2 linked regions of the Macaca fascicularis genome follow. The protein of the gene in region 1 interacts with the protein of each later gene in a biochemical or structural test. Links are inferred from orthologs where the notes say so. Each region holds a gene or a part of one and is shown in the gene's direction. Other genes may lie near its edges. The genes, in order: NTRK2 and BDNF.

What was found.
Region 2: the proteins of NTRK2 (region 1) and BDNF form a complex in vitro, tested with the Homo sapiens proteins (3 studies listed by BioGRID). The link is inferred for Macaca fascicularis from reciprocal best matches to the Homo sapiens genes NTRK2 and BDNF.

What each region holds. Positions count from the first base shown.
Region 1 is NC_088389.1:115,291,495-115,295,990, forward strand, and holds the start of NTRK2 (BDNF/NT-3 growth factors receptor), read left to right. Parts: upstream 1-1,511; 5' UTR 1,512-1,775; intron 1,776-2,290; exon of another isoform or gene 2,291-2,323; 5' UTR 2,324-2,412; intron 2,413-2,765; exon of another isoform or gene 2,766-3,220; intron 3,221-3,375; 5' UTR 3,376-3,751; coding exon 3,752-3,963; intron 3,964-4,496. UniProt on the Homo sapiens protein: Receptor tyrosine kinase involved in the development and the maturation of the central and the peripheral nervous systems through regulation of neuron survival, proliferation, migration, differentiation, and synapse formation and plasticity.
Region 2 is NC_088388.1:37,889,753-37,894,161, forward strand, and holds the start of BDNF (neurotrophic factor BDNF precursor form), read left to right. Parts: upstream 1-1,343; 5' UTR 1,344-1,497; coding exon 1,498-1,647; intron 1,648-4,409. UniProt on the Homo sapiens protein: Important signaling molecule that activates signaling cascades downstream of NTRK2. During development, promotes the survival and differentiation of selected neuronal populations of the peripheral and central nervous systems.

The sequences.
Region 1 (4,496 bases):
CTGATCGCCAATGTGTTCTAGACACTGTCCTTGGAGGTGTTGAGTTAACAGCATGAGTAAGTGGGAGGCCCTCTCTGGCCTGGTGCTGAAGCATATCTGGCTACTAAATGAGGCAGAAAGTAAGGCAAGGTTTTAAGCAGTGCTATGAGCACTCGGAACACAAGGAAGATTTGAAATTTTGAAGGTGAGAAGGAGCGTGTCTGGGGGAATAATCCAGGTTCTTGCAGAATTAGAGGTTAAGAAAGTAAGATCTCAACTTTATTTTATTTATTCATTAAAAATACACATATATTTTAACACCTACTATGTCCTTGAGATATATCAATGAACAAAATAGACAAAAATCCCTGCCTTCATGGAGTGTACATTCTACTGGGAGAAATTTAAAATATATATATGATAAGTAAATGATCTGTCCAAAAGACAAACTGCTATGGTTGAAATAGTAGAGCAGAAGTAGGGTGATTAGAAGTAGGACCGCAAATCCTAATTTTAAGTGGGAGACAGTCAGTGGAATATATTTAGAATTCAACTATAATAGTAGCATATATTTACTCTAATAGAAATTCTACAGATATTCCAACATAATTGGAATCTTGTGGTGTACAAACCACCGTAAAACTGCCTATTCTCCATACCGCATTGAGACATGCTGCAGCCACTAGGGCGCAAATGGGCCCTTTCTTAGGAAAATGGGCTGAGAGTATGGGAGTGTGAGAGAGATGTGGGTGATTATGCACACACACACTCCTTCCTTCCCCAAGTGTTCCTCAGGGGCTTCTCCACTTAAGGGGCACTGACAAGACAGGCGGAGTTTTACGTGCGTCTGAGACCAGGTCATTTTTGCCCTTGCTTCTCTTCCTTGGCACGTCCTCACCTAGCAGAAAATCGAGAGAGGCCCTGCTGAGGAGTAAACTTCAGCCTGGCCGTTCACCACTCAAAGTGTGTTACAGCCGAGCGACAGTGGTGAGACAGACCTGCTAGCCTTGCCTTCGGGACCTGCAGCAAGATTTTTGGGTGCTGTCCAAGAATTCCCGCGGTAACACTCAGCGCCCAGGATCTGTACAAAAAAGCCCCACTAGATGTTTTACGTTCCCTTCGTAATATTTAATGCTTGGCCTAGATCCGAGCATTCACTCTAAGGTTCGGTTTCTCGATCCTTCCCATCCCCAGCCTCTGCGGGTAGATCAGTGACTGTTACTATATTTTGAACGAGACTCCAACCCATTGCTCTCTCTGGAGCGGAGGATTGGCCGCCTTTTTCCCCGGGCCGGACCTCGGCGAGGCCAGGCAAGCCGCTCACTGGCCGGGCAGGGACGCGCAGGCGTCGGGCGCCGCTGGTTGCGCATCTGGCGCCAGAGCGCGCCCCCAGCGCTGTGCCCGCCGCGACCGTGGCGGTGGGCTGGTGCTCCGGAGCGTGCCGGGCGCTCTCTCCCCGCGCGGGGGCACCAGAGCCCTCGGAAGTGTCAGGCACTGCGGTGCATTTTCCCAGTTCGCTTTTAAATGACTGCGGAAAAACAGATTCCGAGCCGCAAAAGGGAAGACGGATTCTCAGACAAGGCTTGCGAATGCCCCGCAGCCGTCATTTAACTGCGCCCGCAGAACAATTACGGTTTGTCACCCGACCCTCCCGGATCGCCTAATTTGTCCCTAGTGAGACCCCGAGGCTCTGCCCGCGCCTGGCTTCTTCGTAGCTGGATGCATATCGTGCTCCGGGCAGCGCGGGCGCAGGGCACGCGTTCGCGCACACCCGCGCACACATGAACACGCGCAAGGTACGGCAGGGGAGCAAGGGCTTGGGATGCCCTGCATGGGGTGGGCATCGCGGGGAGTGAAGCTACGATATGGGAATGGCTACATCCCGACAGGTTAAAGGATGAGAGAAAATGACGCGGCGCCACACATCGGACAGGCCAGGGTGGCCACCGAGCATTTAGAATACGCATCAGGCGCGCTCCCTTCCCCTCACATGTCTCTATTTCCCGGGCGTGTGATGGCAGAAAACGGCAGGAAAAAGACCCACTTAGAGAGCTAGAATTGTGTTTGGAGACTCCCTTCCCTCTGCAAAAGCACCAACAGGAAGCCCCTCCAAAACCACCGATCCCCAAATAGGTGGCCCGGAATGGGGGCGGTGATCCTTGGTTACCAATGCAGAACACGTTTTGGTGTTTACAACATTTATTTATTTTTAGGATAGCTTGCCCTCCCTTTTAGGCAGGGTGGGAAAGGAGAACGCGGGGAGGGAGAAGGGAGGGAGGATTCCTATAATAAGAATCAGCGCATTTTTCAGAGCTGAACCAAGCACGGTTTCCATTTCAAAAAGCGAGCCAGCCTCTACCGCGATTGTAGAAGAGACTGTGGTGTGAATTAGGGACCGGGAGGCGTCAAACGGAGGAACGGTTCATCTCAGAGGTACCTGGATGTAAATTCACACACACACACACACACAGAGGCACGCGCGCGCGTGTCTACACGGCCAGGATGTGTGCGTGTGTGCGTGCGTGTGTGCGCGCGTGTGTGCACTCCCACATGCTGCTGCTGTCTGCTTCTGGCCAGTGGCACTGATGCCTCCCTCCTCCCTGCTCGCCCCCAGATTCCCCTCCCCTCCCTGGTGCTTTTGTCTGGAGGGTGTTATGGGTTTGTGTGTGTATGAGCGCGTGTGTGTTTTTGGATTTCAGACTAATTTTCTGGAGTTTCTGCCCCTGCTCTGCGTCAGCCCTCACGTCACTTCGCCAGCAGTAGCAGAGGCGGCGGCGGCGGCTCCCGGAATTGGGTTGGAGCAGGAGCCTCGCTGGTTGCTTCGCTCGCGCTCTACGCGCTCAGTCCCCGGCGGCAGCAGGATCCTGGACCCAGGCGCCGCCGGCGGGCGTGAGGCGCCGGAGCCCGGGTGAGCAGCGCAGACAGTGCCCTCGGTCGCCTCGGCCCTCCCTGTCTCCCCCTGGGGCGGCCTCGGCTACTCCCCAGGTGGGACGTGCCGCGCCACCTGCCCGCGCCACCGGCACCCAGCGGCTGTGGCGGATTCTGCAGCATCATTCGGGGCCCCCGTCGCGGAGCCAAAGCTGCCGGCAGTCTCCGCATTCCCCTTTAAAGGGTCCTTCGCCCGGCCTGTACCATGGAATCCTGTCTCGGGGACCCTTTCCCTACCTCCCCTCCCTTGGCCTCAGGCTCGAAGAGAGAGTGGGCACACTGGTGGCTCCAGCGGCGTCAGTGCCATCGCGGGGCAAGTTGATTCCTGGGCTGGAGCTGGGCACTCATCCATCCACAGTCTCCCGGCTGGGATCGGGGTGGGGATGATGCGAGCGCAGAGGGAGAGTGCTCCAATTAGTGGTGTTGGGGGTCCTACACTCAGTCTTACGCGTATCTGTTTGTCCTCAGCCTCGAGGTGCATACCGGACCCCCATTCGCGTCTAATAAGGAGCCTGCACCCCAGAGAGTCCCGGGAGCGCCGCCGGTCGGTGCCCGGCGCCCCGGGCCATGCAGCAACGGCCGCGGCGGAGCTCCGAGCGGCGGTAGCACCCCCCTGTAAAGCGGTTCACGATGCCGGGGCCACTGTGAACCCTGCCGCCTGCCGGAATACGCTCCGCTCCGGACCAGCTCAGCCTGTGATACGCTGGACTCCGCGCGCCCGCAGCAAGCAAGCACCGAGGAGTCAAGAGAGCCGCAAGCGCGGGGAAGGCCTCCCCGCACAGGTCGGGGAAACCGGCCGGTGCAGCGTGGGGACACTCACTCGGGCTGGCACTGGCTGCTAGGGATGTCGTCCTGGATAAGGTGGCATGGACCCGCCATGGCGCGGCTTTGGGGCTTCTGCTGGCTGGTTGTGGGTTTCTGGAGGGCCGCTCTCGCTTGTCCCACGTCCTGCAAATGCAGTGCCTCTCGGATCTGGTGCAGCGACCCTTCTCCTGGCATCGTGGCATTTCCAAGGTTGGAACCTAACAGTGTAGATCCTGAGAACATCACCGAAATGTGAGTTCCTGGAGCTTTTCCTCTTTTTTCGCCTTGCCCCTAGGGCCCGGGCTGGCCAGATGGGTAGGTCCTGAAAGTGAATGCTGTCTCAAGAGTGGGGAGAAGTCAGAGACAAGAGATGCAAGACAGGGCCATCTGTCAGTTACCTGTCTGTTTCACTGGCTTGGGACTGCCAGTGCAGGAGAAGTGTGACACTTTAGGATAAGTTTTAAATATAGATATACATATGCCGATTATATATGTATTCCTCGTGGGAAGGAACTCACTATGCTTTTTATATTTCAAAGCTCTGCTGGGTGTGCTTTAGGCTTTCCGCATGCACTAACTTAGTTTTGGGCATTTTTGTTTCATAAAGTGCTGTGTGTATGTTGTGTTAGAAGTTCCATTAATATTCACTAGAAAAGAGGTTAAAATAATTAACTTTCCCGAATCTGTTGAAGGAAGTGACAGTCTCTCCCTTAACATCTTTTTTGAGGTTTGAGTTAACCACTTTCCCTTTTCATTTTATATATCAGATTTTGCTTAGGAGATGG
Region 2 (4,409 bases), on another chromosome or scaffold:
GAAAACATCTGCAAAAGCATGCAATGCCCTGGAACGGAACTCTTCTAATAAAAGATGTATCATTTTAAATGCGCTGAATTTTGATTCTGGTAATTCGTGCACTAGAGTGTCTATTTCGAGGCAGCGGAGGTATCATATGACAGCGCACGTCAAGGCACCGTGGAGCCCTCTCGTGGACTCCCACCCACTTTCCCATTCACCGCGGAGAGGGCTGCTCTCGCTGCCGCTCCCCCCGGCGAGCTAGCATGAAATCTTCCTGCCTCTGCCGAGATCAAATGGAGCTTCTAGCTGATGGGGTGCGAGTATTACCTCCGCCATGCAATTTCCACTATCAATAATTTAACTTCTTTGCTGCAGAACAGAAGGAGTACATACCGGGCACTAAAGACTCGCGCCCCCTCCCCCCTTTAAGCAAAGAGAACGTGAAAAAATAATAGAGTCTGGGAGTTTTGGGGCCGAAGTCTTTCCCAGAGCAGCTGCCTTGATGGTTACTTTGACAAGTAGTGTCTGAAAAGGTGGGTTTGTTTTCTTTCTTTCTCTTTCCGTTTTTCTGTTTGGTCTGCTAGAAAGCGTGTGGCTTTAGCGAGGTCTGTCATTGCCTGGGCTTCCTGGCTGGAACAAGTAACTTGGTGTAACGTTATCTGGGGGCGTTCATCAATAAAAAATGCTGTTGTTATCTTGATTGAATTCCTATTAGGCAAACTCTAGAGAGGTCAGTGCGCGAACTCTGTTTAAGCCGGCGTGTTTAAGGCAGCGGAGTAAACCAATAGCCCCCATGCTCTGTGCGATTTCATTGTGTGCTCGCGTTCGCAAGCTCCGTAGTGCGGGAAGGTGCGGGAAGGTGTGTCTGTGGCCCGGGAAAAGCACGCCCATTCCCAGAGAACTTAGGTGCTGGGATGGGGAGGAAGGGGAGAGTTGAAAGCTAGGGGAGCAAGACCTCAGGGCGTGCGATCCTCACTCGCTCCCTCACGCCCCAGCGCGCACAGCCGGGGTTTCTGCAGAGGGCGCGGGACGCGGGGTTCCCCGGGGCTGGGGCTGGGGCTGGAACACCCCTCGAAGCTGCGGGCGTCCTGCCCAAGGCGCCCCGGGAGGGCGCAGGACTCGCAGGATGATGTCGCGGGGACCTGGGGGAGGACGTGAGGACAGGCCCTGGGGGAGCGGGGAGTCCCAGGCGCCCCTCGGTCCCCCGGGCGAGAAAAAGGCGCGGCGTTCCCTTTAAGCAGCCGCCCCGAACGGGTATCGGTAGCGCGGGCGAGCGGGGGGAGGGGGGCGGGGGGGTGGCGCCGTTTGACCAATCGAAGCTCAACCGAAGAGCTAAATAATGTCTGACCCGGGCGCAAGGCGCAGCCTGGAGCTCCGGGTCCCAGCCGCTGCCGCCGCCGCGCCCGGGCGCACCCGCCGGCTCGCTGTCCCGCGCACCCCGTAGCGCCTCGGGCTCCCGGGCCGGACGGAGGAACCGGCCCGGTGCGCCTCCCATCTCCTGCTCGGGGGGCTTTAATGAGACACTTGAATGCAGCTGCCACCGCTGCTGTGGGGCCGGCGGGGAGCAGCACCGCGACGAGGACCCGGGCTGGGCGCTGGAGCCAGAATCGGAACCACGATGTGACTCCGCCGCCGGGGACCCGTGAGCTTTGTGTGGACCCCGAGGTAGGCAAGCGCCGGGCATGGGGCTTGGTACGGGAGCTGCCGGTCCGCAGGAGAAAGTTGACTGGGGGACCCCCCAAAGTTGTGGGACGAGGCCAGTCTCCTTCTTTCCTCCCCGCCGGTAGAAGGGAGGATTTGGAGTTGCTCCTGGGGAGTTTTCTCCCCCATCCCACAACCCAGAAGGTCACCCGGCACTACCAGGGAAAAAGGGACCCGGGGAAGGCACGAAGTAGAGGACAGAAGGCCTGGAGGAGACCCAGAGCTGCGTGATGGGAGCCAAGACGGCGACCCGGGGATCCCTCGCAGTCCTCCCCCACCCCAGGAGGAGTCGAGAGAGACTTAGGGGGCCAGAGCTGTCGGGGGCCCTGACTGAGGGAAGGGTGCTGAGGCTAGGCTAGGAATCCTTCCAGGGGTTGGGTGGTCCCCGCGCCGACCTGTGGGGGGAGTGGGAGGGAAGCTTGCGCCTTGAGTCCGCGTGGTCCCCGGGACTGCACACGGCTACCTGCTTCCCAGGAGTTGAGACTGAAGTGGATTTACAAGTCCGAAGCCAATGTAGCTTAGAAAACTTGGGAGGCGGAATTACTACCGCTCGGAACTGAAAGGGTCTGCGAGACTCCCGGGCGGGCTACCCAGCCTGCGCCCCTCTTCTGAAGCGCCCTCCAAGGAAGTTAGAGTTTTGACTTTCGGGGACTAGGTGGGATATAGGTGGGGGATTCCTTACTCGGGTTAGTCTCTGGGGATGCAGAGCCGGGAAGAATGGGTGAGAGTGAGTTGCGCCTGGAAAGAAATAGCTGAGGATTGGGGGCTCTGTGCCCGACGGGCAAGAAGAAGGGGAGATTACAGACTAGGGGCAGCCCTAAGGAAGAAGCCTTGGGGCTGCGAGGGTGAACTGGAGGATGCAGTGTTTTTGTGTTGGGGGTGGAGCAGGGATGAGGGACCGAGGTGGAGGGGAGGCAAGGAGGAGGAGGGGACCCGGAGAAGGAAGCTAGGGAAGGTAGAGGGTGCCCTCTGCCGGCCATGCTGCCAAGAGCAGCTCCTGGGGGCGGGAGGCTGGGGGTGGGGAAGTGGTAAGGGAAGGTTTTGCGGGATCCCTTAGAGAGCTGGTAGGAGGGACTTGTTGAATGGTGCTGCTGACTCCAGCTCGGTAGGGCATGCGACTCGTCGTCGGTGGATTTTGACTCCTTGTTCTTGTTTGGCTTCTATGCAAGTTTTCCTCGCGCTGGAGGAGCTCTGATAAGCCTCGATTGGTGGTGTGTTAGGGCTTCTTGGATCTTATTTTAGGGCCCTCTAGGTATCTTACACTTACTCCTCAATGTCAGTAGCAACCAAAGAACGTTTTCCAACAAGCACGCAGGAATGTTCTTGGCCAGAAGCGAAGAAAATCATATTTCTGAGTGTTTATTAATCCTCCTAGTACAGTTATCTTTTAAAGCAAAGTAGTATGCAATTGGGAACGTTGATTTTCTAACTGCATATAAAAGGCGATATGCTATTAAATGAGACCCCTCCCTACTGGCTCAATATCCTGAAAAATCTCTCTCTCCCCTTTATTATTATCGAAAAATCTATTTTTATATGAGTTTGTTGTAAGGTCAAAAGCCATTTCGGTCTTACAATTTGATATGTCTTTACATTTTAATTTATTGAGCCATAATTACAGATTTAATTTGTCTGAACGTGTGTGCCTTCAATGCTTACCTCATGCAACATAATTTTTAGGTTGGAGATTTCTGATGTTATGACATGTAGCGATTCAAGACATTACACATAAGAGGTAACATAGCATGTTGAAATTACACCACAAAGTTTTGACCCTGGGAACAGCACCTTTTAAAAACCATCACTAAACCCCTGTTCGTGTTTTCTGATTTTTGCAAATGCCTTGCTTGAGACTTTTTATTTTTTTATTTTTGTTTTTTGGTAAATTTACCTCTGGGTGAGCAGGAGAGGTAAGAGAAAGGAAAGAGACACTTGTTGAAATGTAACCATAACCTTTACTGGAATTTAAAACATGTTGGTCACCATTACTGGAATTCCAGCGCCATAAAGTCGTTGTCTTTTTTTTCTTCTACTTCATTTTGTAAAATGTGATAAATGTTGGTAAATATAGACCAGTAGTAAGTATTATGACACGAAAAGCATTATGTATGTGGAACTATTTTAAGTTATTACAGAACATTTTCTATTTATAAATGATATAAGCAGAAAGAAATGATTTCCAGATAAACAAGGCTTACGTACATGTTTTGAAGCATTAGAACATTGCAGACACACTTAGACATCACATTTTTTAAAGCAAAATAACAGTAATTTTTCACATACCTTTGGAGCCTTTCATAGCCCATTCAGAGCTGAGTTAGTAGCTGGAAGTTTCGTGTATTTTAAGGTGATATTTTAAAGCCATTTAAGATGTATAGTAGGTCAACATTGGTGTATCCAGAAAATGAAGCATTTAGGAAATCTGTTTCAGAGTGTCTTTTCAATGTGTGTAACTTTTACTTGTAAATCAATGGAACCAAGAAAGTCGTCATTTGCCTAAAATGCAGTCATCACCTCAAATGATTCATTTATACTATGCGAGTTAATTGCCTTAATCTCATTAATGGCCAAGGAGGGAAGGGAGGTCCTGGGATATTTCTTGTTCATTTTGACTCACCAGGAGGGGAAAATCTTGTTAAAAAAAAAAATGCAAATTTCTAAAATCCTGGCTCAAAGTCCTTGGATTTCCTGTTTAAAGGGGGCACCGTGAGAATGTAAGCTATTCC